3 linked regions of the Caenorhabditis elegans genome follow. The protein of the gene in region 3 purifies or fractionates together with the protein of the main gene of each other region. This does not show direct contact. Each region holds a gene or a part of one and is shown on either strand. Other genes may lie near its edges.

The links.
Region 1: the proteins of nduf-6 (region 3) and gas-1 fractionate together in Caenorhabditis elegans (co-fractionation; one large-scale study listed by BioGRID). This does not show direct contact.
Region 2: the proteins of nduf-6 (region 3) and ucr-2.2 fractionate together in Caenorhabditis elegans (co-fractionation; one large-scale study listed by BioGRID). This does not show direct contact.

Annotation. Positions count from the first base shown.
Region 1 is NC_003284.9:15,588,450-15,592,205, forward strand, and holds the start of gas-1 (putative NADH dehydrogenase [ubiquinone] iron-sulfur protein 2, mitochondrial), read right to left. Parts: upstream 1,949-3,756; 5' UTR 1,943-1,948; coding exon 1,802-1,942; intron 1,751-1,801; coding exon 1,617-1,750; intron 1,564-1,616; coding exon 1,389-1,563; intron 1,169-1,388; coding exon 946-1,168; intron 898-945; coding exon 252-897; intron 1-251. Other genes in the region: usp-33 (Ubiquitin carboxyl-terminal hydrolase), read left to right, coding at 2,920-3,093, 3,174-3,374, 3,737-3,756.
Region 2 is NC_003284.9:15,172,268-15,176,023, reverse strand, and holds the start of ucr-2.2 (Peptidase M16 N-terminal domain-containing protein), read right to left. Parts: upstream 2,121-3,756; 5' UTR 2,120-2,120; coding exon 1,985-2,119; intron 1,936-1,984; coding exon 1,789-1,935; intron 1,527-1,788; coding exon 1,315-1,526; intron 1,262-1,314; coding exon 1,180-1,261; intron 1,133-1,179; coding exon 998-1,132; intron 993-997; exon of another isoform or gene 918-992; coding exon of another isoform or gene 433-917; intron 363-432; coding exon of another isoform or gene 1-362. Other genes in the region: col-41 (Nematode cuticle collagen N-terminal domain-containing protein), read left to right, coding at 1-362, 433-917; ocr-3 (Ion transport domain-containing protein), read right to left, coding at 2,451-2,564, 3,309-3,440, 3,497-3,613, 3,657-3,756.
Region 3 is NC_003279.8:7,089,202-7,092,017, forward strand, and holds nduf-6 (putative NADH dehydrogenase [ubiquinone] iron-sulfur protein 6, mitochondrial), read left to right. Parts: upstream 1-1,538; 5' UTR 1,539-1,540; coding exon 1,541-1,681; intron 1,682-1,729; coding exon 1,730-1,909; intron 1,910-1,954; coding exon 1,955-2,056; 3' UTR 2,057-2,160; downstream 2,161-2,816. Other genes in the region: nars-1 (Asparagine--tRNA ligase, cytoplasmic), read right to left, coding at 1-288, 335-730, 773-856; prpf-4 (Serine/threonine-protein kinase PRP4 homolog), read right to left, coding at 2,260-2,370, 2,582-2,671, 2,719-2,816. UniProt on the Caenorhabditis elegans protein: Accessory subunit of the mitochondrial membrane respiratory chain NADH dehydrogenase (Complex I), that is believed not to be involved in catalysis. Complex I functions in the transfer of electrons from NADH to the respiratory chain.

The sequences.
Region 1 (3,756 bases), on a different chromosome or scaffold from region 3:
CCACTTTGGCCACAGGGGTCGTTTACAGATCCGACCACTGTGGCATTCAAATCAGGGTGGAGGGTGGAGATGTCTGCGCGTGTGGTCCTAATTTGGTAATCACTTCATAATCAAGAATTAATAGTCAACCGGAGTCCCGCTGTCCCGTTTTTGTAAATTTAAAATTTTTTATATATAATATAAATTTTACGGGACATTGACACCCTTGGTTCAGACCACCGCATTCTTAACATTAAAAATGAAATAGTTACCTATATGGTTTTCCGGTTCCATCAGCAACAAGGTAAACTCCAAACTCTCCCTTTGGAGCCTCAATTGGGACATAAGTTGCTCCTGGTGGCACTTGGAATCCTTCGGTGAAGAACTTGAAATGATGAATAAGAGACTCCATGTTCTCCTTCATCTCGGCTCTCTTTGGTGGCACAACCTTGTGATCGTCGACCTTGATTTCTCCGGCTGGCATCTTGTTGAGGCACTGATGCACAATGTTCAACGACTGTCTCATCTCCTCAATACGGCACAAGTATCTGTCGTAGCAATCACCCTTGGTTCCGATTGGAACATCAAATTCCATATCAGCATAGGCATCGTATGGTTCGGTCTTTCTCACGTCTTGCTTGATTCCAGATCCACGGACCATGACTCCACTGAATCCCCAGTTGAGAGCATCAGCAGCTGACACAAGTCCGATGTCAATAGTTCTGGCCTTCCAGATTCGGTTTTCGGTGAGCATGTCTTCGAGCTCATCGATACGTTCTGGGAACTTGATGGCCCAGTCGTAGATGTCATCCATAAGACCAATTGGAAGATCCCAAGCGACACCTCCGGGGCGGACGTAGTTGGCATGCATTCTGGCACCAGATACTCGCTCGGAAAACTCAAAGAGCTTTTCACGTTCTGAAAATCAATGTTGGTTTTGTACTTATTTTGAAACAATAAACTTACCCTCGAACATCCAGAAAAACGGTGTCATAGCTCCAACGTCAAGGGCGTGAGTGGTGATACCCATGATGTGGTTCTGGATGCGAGTGAGCTCTCCCATGAGAGTTCTGATATATTTGGCTCTTGTTGGGATGTCAATACCGAGAAGCTTCTCAACAGCCAAAGACCAAGCCTGCTCATTGCACATCATGGAGACGTAATCGAGACGATCGAAGTATGGGAGAGCCTGCAAAGAAAACAGTTGGAAAAATTGATTGAATATTCGATTTGAGTGACAGAAAAAATGATTTGAAACGGATTTCATAGCTTTTGAAAACTAAAATTAGGCTAAACAAAAAATTATTATTTAGACACAATATTTGTCATTTTCAGTTCTAAACTTGGACCGAGTTGAAGATTTTACAAATTTTCAATTTATCATTTTCAATATCGTTTTAGAAACATACCTGAGTGTAGGTCTTGTGCTCAATGAGCTTTTCAGTGGCACGATGAAGGAGTCCAATATGTGGGATGGCCTTGATGATGACTTCTCCTTCCAGTTTCAACACGAGACGCAACACTCCGTGAGCGGCTGGATGCTGTGGTCCGAAGTTGAGAATCATGTTTTCCAGATTCTTCTCTCTGAAAAAAAAAACAAATTATTTTAATTTTCAAGTACTCGGTAAAATTTCTACCTCTGTTTTCCGCTGTAGTTATCACTCATAACTGGATCGGAATAGGCCAACTTTTCAAGCTTGTCAAGTCCGATCTTCTCGTCGAAATCCGAAACCCGCTCCGACATCCACAGCTTTCCGAGGGTACCTCCGGTCTGAAATATTGAAAATTGAGATGTCACTCGTAACCAACAAAAAAAATCAACCTTAAATTGACGCTCAAATTTAGCATCTGGATACCAGATTGTGTGGGAGTTTCGGGTTTGGGTGGCAGGAGTAGAAGACGTCGCCGCGACCGATGGAACGTTCGCTCGGAGACAAGTTCCGGCGATCTTTCTACCCAACATTGTTTCCTATAAAAATATTCGGTGAATAGTGAGCAATAAAAGTTGTGAAGTTAAAGCAACAAAGAGAAACGGAAAAATCGATAAAATCGCTGCCAAATTGCACATTGAACACAGAAAGATTGAACTTCAAAAACCCACCAATTCGCAACTTGATTTTCACAATTTTTTTCATGGAAACTAACAGTCAGTCGTATTTTTTCTTACACGATAAAGATAATATTAAAATTATTAAGAAAAAAGAAAGTAAATTCGCAAAAACAGTGTCGAAAATAGGTACCGAACGAAAATAAGACGACTGCTCGGTATTTAGCGCGTGGTGGAGTGTCGTTGTTTTCCTCGCGTAGCCTCACCTCTCTATTGATTTAGAAGATGTCTTGTTGCTTGGACAGTCGTTCGGAATTGTCATGCTCGGTGTTATTATTTATTTTTGTTTTCTAAGAAACTTTTTTTAAATTGAAAATTGTTTTATAATATAACGTTAATTTGGATTATTTTGTAAAAATTTTTAATAAACTCATTTTTCAATTTTTGATCAAATTGTAAATTTAACCTAATATTTTCGGTACGTGTGTTCCAACATTTTAAAAGTAAATTAGTAATTGTTTTTTTTCTCCACTTATCTAAAACGTGAGTAGTATTATCATGATTAGGTTTGGAAAAGATCGTTTCAAAAAAAAAACAAAATGAAGATCACGTTTAAAAGTTAAGAAATTAAATTTTCAAAATGTGGAGTTATAATACACAAGTTTCATATTTTTTTACACTTATTACCGAAATGACATCATTGTTTTTTTAAAGTACAGATTTTCGAATATACTATTAACTTATTAATTAAACTGATGATATGAAATACAACTTAACGTTTTTTTCTTTTTTGGTTTCAATATCATTTTTCGTTGTGGTCAATTGATACTAATGATGACTTTTTTTTAAATTTAACATGACTCTCATTTCAATTTTCTATATTTTTTTTCAGAATGGCGGATAGTGCAGGGCGTGATGACGACGGAATGAATTCGGATAGCAGTCAGCCATCACAGAACATCGAAAAAGAAGAGGGTATACTAGATGAGGAGTCGTCATCGTCTGAATCAGGAACGGGTACAGATACCGATAAGGATGATCTGGAAGAGAATAATAATCCGCGACCGGTAAGAATATTTCCAATGACTTTCTCAAACATTTAACATCACAATACCTGATTTTCCAAAAACCTCAAAAATAATTACAGATGCTTCCAAAACAAATGGAATCTCGCTGCAAACACGTCAAAGACATCAATCCATCAGACCTCAGCCAGCTTCTACAGAAGAAGTTAAAATGCATGACTTGCCATGATTCAGTCAGTTTCTCATGTGCTCATCAAGATTGTATTAATAGTTTGAAGTCAAGCTGTTGCAAAAATTCCGACCACCTTCTTCCTCATATGGCGGTACGTTTGTTCGCAAATTGACATCAAGTTTTGCTTACTTTTTTGAATTTTGATATAATTGCATTTTTACATAATATCCGTTAAATAGTAATCTACATATATTTATATAATTTGACAGACACATGCGATGAACTTTTTTCTAAACAGAAAACTGTGCAGAAGAAAAATAGGAACATAATCATTTTTATAAGTTAAGCATCATGTTTTAAGCTTGGTAGCAATTAGGTGTAGGGTTAAAAAATTTTTAATCTATCCGAAAATTGAAAAAAAAACACCAAATTGTTGTTAATTGATAAGTTAATGCTTCGATAAGCACAGATCAATCAACCTCAGCGCTCTCAAAATTATTCCAATTTTTTAAGGTTCACAATCATCCTCCAAT
Region 2 (3,756 bases), on a different chromosome or scaffold from region 3:
AGGGCCTGATGGAGACTCTGGACCAGAAGGATTCCCAGGACTTCAAGGGCAATCCGGACCATCCGGTGAAGATGGAGCCCCAGGACAGGAGGGAGCCCCAGGAGATCAAGGAGAACAAGGACCAAAGGGATACGATGGGACCGACGGACCAGACGGACAGCCAGGAACCACATACTTCCCAGGACAAGCTGGACAGCCAGGAGAGCCAGGATGGTTGGGAGAGCCAGGACTTCCAGGACAACATGGAGAGCCAGGAAAGGACGGAGAGGAGGGACCACAAGGAGCACCAGGAACTCCAGGAAACGCTGGTCACGACGCCTTCCCAGGAACCCCGGGACAAGCTGGAAAGCCAGGAGCTCCAGGTAAAATTTTTGTTGTTGTTACTAGGAATTTCTTGAACAAACAGTGATGAAACATTTTAAATTGTTTCAGGAAAAGATGCCAACTACTGCCCATGCCCACAAAGACAAGACGACAGAACCCCACCATCATCTGGAACATCCGCTCCACAGCCACCACCACGTGGATCCACTGCTGCTCCAGGAACTCGTGCTCCACCAGCAACTCGCGCTCCACCAGCAACTCGTGCTCCACCAGCAACCACCCGCGCTCCACCAGCAACAACTCGTCCAGCACCAGCTTCACAGCCACCAGTCAGAGAGCCAGAGACTCCAGATTCTGGATACCCATCCCCAGCTCCACAAGAGCCAGCTCATCCATCACCAAGCTACCCGTCTCCAAGCTATCCATCTCCAAGCTATCCATCCCCAAGCTACCCATCTCCGAGCTACCCATCCCCAAGCTATCCAGCTGAGCCAGCTTATTCCGTCCCACCACCAGCCAAGCCAGAGCAGCCATCAGGAGGATACGATGCTCCATCTCCACCACAAACTGGAAGCTACCAGAGACGTTGGTAGATGCGTGACACTTCTCATGACATTATTTATGACTTTGTTATCCAACTCCACTGAATAAATATTCGTTTTCAAGAACTCACCTTGTAAGCACTTGAAGATGGGGACGCAGCGTTTCCACTTCTGATTGGGGCGTGATTGTCTCCATAGAGAAGAAGGTCATCGTGAACAGCATTAGTGGCAAACAATACTCCGTTTCCTGTGACGAAGTGCTGCTCCTGAAATTTTAAAATTGAAAACTTGCAGATAAGAATAAGCAACTTACTGCAAATGAGGACAAAGTTGATGTGCAGATCGATCCAATTTTAGAGCATGGTGCATAGATTGAGTTTCCAAGTCCTCCATTTCTAAAAAAAAAAGTTTTGCTCAATGAATTCTCGAAAGCTTCTCAATGCCAAACCTGTAAGCGGCCTTGTGAATCTGGTCAACAACCAAGTCGTAAGCGGTTCTGTATCCGTTGTCAGCGCGCATAGTTGGCAGCACATCCTCGACTTCCCATGGCTTGAATCCTGGGTTACCAGCGACTTGTCCCAATACGGAAAGTCCGACGGAAGTGCTTTCGCGTGGAATTGTGAGGGAGACTCCGAAAAGATCGCGGGAGGTGAAGGATTTCTGAAACATCACCCTCGCTATGTCTGTGAGACTTTTTGGAATGCTCATGAAAATTTGATAATTTTGCTCCAAGTTAATTAGACCACATTTTTTCTGAAATTTTGATACAAAATACTTAATTCCAAATTTTTTTTCTAACAAATCTTTTCTAAAAAAAACTGTGAATGTATTATGCAATCTTTCTTCAAATTTACATTAAAATTCTTAGTTCTTTTCTAACGCCCAGTAGATTCAACTTTATCGATTTTTTTTTCTTGCTCACCAGAACTCCTCCGGTCTGTGACAACGTCCATACAACTGTGTTTCCAAAGTATTCCTGGGTATCTCTGCCGACGAAATTTCTGATGGTATGAGAGAGTCCGGCCTGGTTGGCTTTTTCGTAGCGACTTCCAGCTCTGAAGGCAAGAACCTAAAATTTGAAGATGATTTCGGATAGAAGAAACAAATTAAAAAAAAACCAAATGTGCAATTGGTTTGTGAGAGTCGATAGTTCCAACGGTCAATCCATTTCCAAGTTTGGCCACTTTTTCGACTGGTTTTGTCGTTGCTGCCTTATGGGCTCCGCGAACAGCTCCAATGTTGCGGCTAAGCATTCTGAAAAAACTAGATTTTCAAAGAAAAACTAGATAATTTTCAAAAATTGGGTAAAATTGAACAATACGGTTATAAAAAGTGCATAATTTATCAAATTTATTCATTTTTTGTTTAAATATTAAATGGAAAACTAAAAATAACTTCATTTTTCACAAAAATAGGTCCAAAAAATGAGAGACGCCTTTCCCGACTCATTGCTGACGCATCCCTTCTCGCTTGCGCGTTTCGTGCGCACATACGTCACTGGCCAAATGGCATGAAACGACGAGGACTATGAACACTTTATTACGGCAAAAATTAATAAACGAATAATTGAAATTTTTTTAGTTTTTACGAAGCATGTTTTGATAGAACATGTAAGACATGAATGGAACTGTTGTTTGACAAGCGGATTGACGGTTTTCCACGCGGTGGAATTAATTTGAGTTGTGGTTGCTGGCGGTCCTGAAAAAATATATTTGAAAACTAAAAAAATGATATAAATTTTGTGAGGTTTTTTTCGAGAGGAAAAGTTTGATTACAAATTTTTCAGTTTCAGCAAAAATTATGTTTTCCTATAATTTTTACAAAACTAACAAAATGTGCTTAAACCAAGTTAGGATATTTCTGAAGACATTAAAGGTGGTGTAGTCGAATTTTTTTATTGCTTTATTAGACTCAAAATTGTCTGGAAATGCCAAATTTCATAATGAAACTTCTTGAAAACTTCTTTTTAAAAAAAGTTATGACGGCTCACAAAATGGCCCAAAATTCGCTAGAATAACGGCGAGATTTTTAAATTATTTTAAACCAAATCTTGCCTTCCATCGACTTTAAAGTACCTAAATAAAGTTGAAAACACAAGATAATTACACGGTTTATTCAAAATTTGACGGTAATTTCAAAAAAAAATTGTTTCCAGCCGCTGCGACATAGGCAAGTCGGTCAAATTTCAAAATTTAACTAATTTTAGGTCACTTTTTCACGCGTCATAACTTTTTTTTGAGAAGTTTTCAAGAAGTTTCATTATGAAATTCGGTGTTTTCAGACAATTTCAAGTCTAATAAAGCATTAAAAATATTCGACTACACAACCTTTAATAGGATTCGGGAATCACCAAGTCTTGCCATCAAATTTGTACAATAAGAAATAAAGTTAATTTTTTTCAAATTCTAGTATAAATTAGGGAAAATTTATAGATTCACTTACATTCGACTTCACTTTCACAACAAATGCTCTTCTTCGTTTATCGGAACGTATTGGCCGAGTATAACGATAAAGTGATAGGAGGCGTTCCGAGGCTGAAGATGACTGCTCTAACATTAAAATTACTTGCGCCCACTGGAAAGTAAAATGGTGAAACTTGAAAATAAAATGTTGAAGTATAAAAAAATCACCTGACGCTTCCATTCTTTCTCAGTTTCGGCAATTTTCTCATAAGTACGAGTCATCATAGCAATTAGTAGATTCAGAAGCATAACAGTCACAATTAACTCGAAGAGGATGAAAAATACCTTAAAACGAGCTTGTAAGCCTGAAAAGAGCTTTTTTTGTAACCTTGGACTGTGGAGCAATGCTGCTTTTGCACTCGTTCAAGTTTTTATAAAGTGCACCAAATTCTCCCACACTCATAATAAACATTCTCATCACTGCCTCC
Region 3 (2,816 bases):
GAAATGATCTCTCATTGCACGAGTAGCTGCAGCGCGAATACGAAGAATTCTTGATGCATTCTCTCCACGGATGACAAGGTGGCGGTTATCAAGCATCACATCGACTCCAGCGCTTTCGTTGAGAACGTTGTCAATTCCTCCAGCTGGTGCTTTGCCAATAACCTCCCAATAGTCAACGGTAAGCTCGTGACCATCAGGAGCGGATTTTCCATCGGGAAGTGCCTTGATAATTCCATAAACTTGAACAGAAGTCTCTGTTGAGAGAGTAACAGCATCATAACTTTGACACTGGAAAACGAAACGATTATAGTTGATCTTTGAAACTATTTCATACCAACTTATCGTTCAAAACACATTGAAGGAATCCATAACCGTCTCTAAGAACAAGGAACATGAGTGACTTTCCTTGACGACGAAGACGATGTACCCAGGCTTTGATTGAGACTCGTTGATCGCGATGCTGCACAGATTCTCCAATCTTGATAACCTTAGCTTCTGGAAGAGACTTGTCAAGAGAAAATGTAATCTTCTTGGCTTCTTCGAGAGCAGCATGTTGAGCCTCTTCGGCTTCTTTCTCCCTACAACCAGCTTTCTCCAGCTTTTTCACTTCAGCTTCGTATTTTTTCACTGCCTTTTTGATAGCAGCTTTCGCTGCTGGTTCCCACGATTCCCCTTCCTCTGACTTTTTCTTCATCAAGAACTCGCCCGAGTTTTTCGAAATAAGCATAGCCTGAAAAGTTTGTTTTTAGCAACTATATTTTTGTGTGCTAACCTGAACCAAAGTAGCCAATGGCTGAGCTTCTGTTCCGGGATGCTGATCAGATCCAGCATCGGTATCGATGTAAAGCTTGGACATGTCGACTGTAAATTAAGATATTTATGAAACAGTATACGGAGTTCCTAAAAGTTATTTTAAAATGTAGCAGAACTGAGCACAGAAAGTTACATTTAACGAAACAGAGATGAATAAATGTTTACTCATTCATTTTGAAAGACACACTAATCTGTACATTATAAAAAAGTAAAGAATTGGGAAAATCTGACGAAAATTCCAACAAAAGTGAGATTGTGCAATCGCACGAAACTGTCGTCAAGTTCAGTGTTTGCGTACTCCCCTGTCTTAACTCTTACTTTAAATTTATGCCTCCCTAGCTGAAAATCAAATCAATTTTAGACAATCTTAGAATAAACATGTATCCTATTTAAAATTTGACGGGTCAAATTAATTTATTCGTTCACAAATCACTCAGAAAACGATGTGGAAGATTCATTACGGTGCACAATGGTAATTCGTGTTTTTGACGCAAGCATTTCATTTGACGCCAAGTTGCGGGCGTTGAGAAACATCTTTTTAATTGACGTCAAATTTGTTTGAAAACAGATGATTAACAACAATTTGTCTAGTTTAAGTATAAAACAATGTTTGTTCATGTTTTATAAAGAAGGAAATTGTTACGGTTTTTACAATTATTTCTTCGTTGCTCTTTTATATTGAATTCAAAGTTGTATCGATTAATCATAATCACTGTTTGGTTTAGTAATGAACCGGCTTCTTCAACAGTCGGTTTCACGCGGACCTCTTGCCGTCCGAGCTTCTTCTACAATTACAACAAAGCCACCAACTCCGAATCAAATTACCAAAAACAATGCACAATTCGACAAGGTGACTCACACCGGACAAGTAAGTGTTTCTTATATAACTTTTCAAATAAAATAAGCACATTTTCAGGCGTGGGATCAATCTGATTATCGTCTTCAAAGATTTGATATTTCGAAGAAAAGCGTCAATCCAAATGTAGCAATGCATCTTATTGATCAACGCCCTCCAGAGGATTGCGGGGATAAGAGAGTTGTCTTCTGTGATGGAGGACATCCAGCTCTTGGACATCCGAAAGTATACATCAACCTTGTTAGTTTTTTTTTAACTTTTAATGTCACACTTTAATTTTTTCAGGACAAACCAGGAGTTCATGCTTGCGGATATTGTGGAAACCGATTCTATAACTCGCACGCCACGAAGGCAGAGGACATGAAGATCCAACACCTCAACTGCTAATTTGTCTAGCCTCTTGGTTTTATTTTTTAGTATGTATACAAAACAAGTAGCGAATTTACAATCATTTTCATTTAAAATTTCCATAATGAATCGAAAGATAACAAAAAATTTGCTGTCGAGGAATATGTATTTAAATATAGCATACATACAATCGAAATAGGAGAAGAGAAATTAGAGATCACCGAAAAAATTTGGGAAATGTATTATTTGATAGGTATGGTGAAGAATGGGTGTTTGAGAGCCTCATTGCAGGTTGTTCGTTTGCTTGGATCAAGAATCAGCATTCCATCGAGCAAAGTTCGGAACGCTTGTATCTGTGAAAATAAAAATGTAGTCATTATCCAATCAGCCATATCGAGAAAATTAACCGAAGATGAGCACCGCTAATGACATTTTATTTTCGCTCTTATAAAATCTCCATTCCAGAAAATTAACAAAGTGGAGAGGAACATAGAGCGGGGGTGAACCAGGGACATTTGGGTGGTCGACAATAGTCTAACCAGCTGCACTATAAGGTACACTAACCTGATCCATTTGGTCTCTGCTCAAACGTTGCCCGGCAATCAATTCTGATTCCAAATCGCGTGTCGGTTTCAAATTTGCAAGAACAGTAATCTGAAAACATAAAAATGTAAATACTTTGAGTTTTCAAATATACAAACCTTGTTTCTTTCTGTAACTTTGTCAACTTCTTGATACAAAAGATTACAGTTTACATCAAAGTGAGTATCTTTGAATTGCGATTTTCGAACCAATTTGT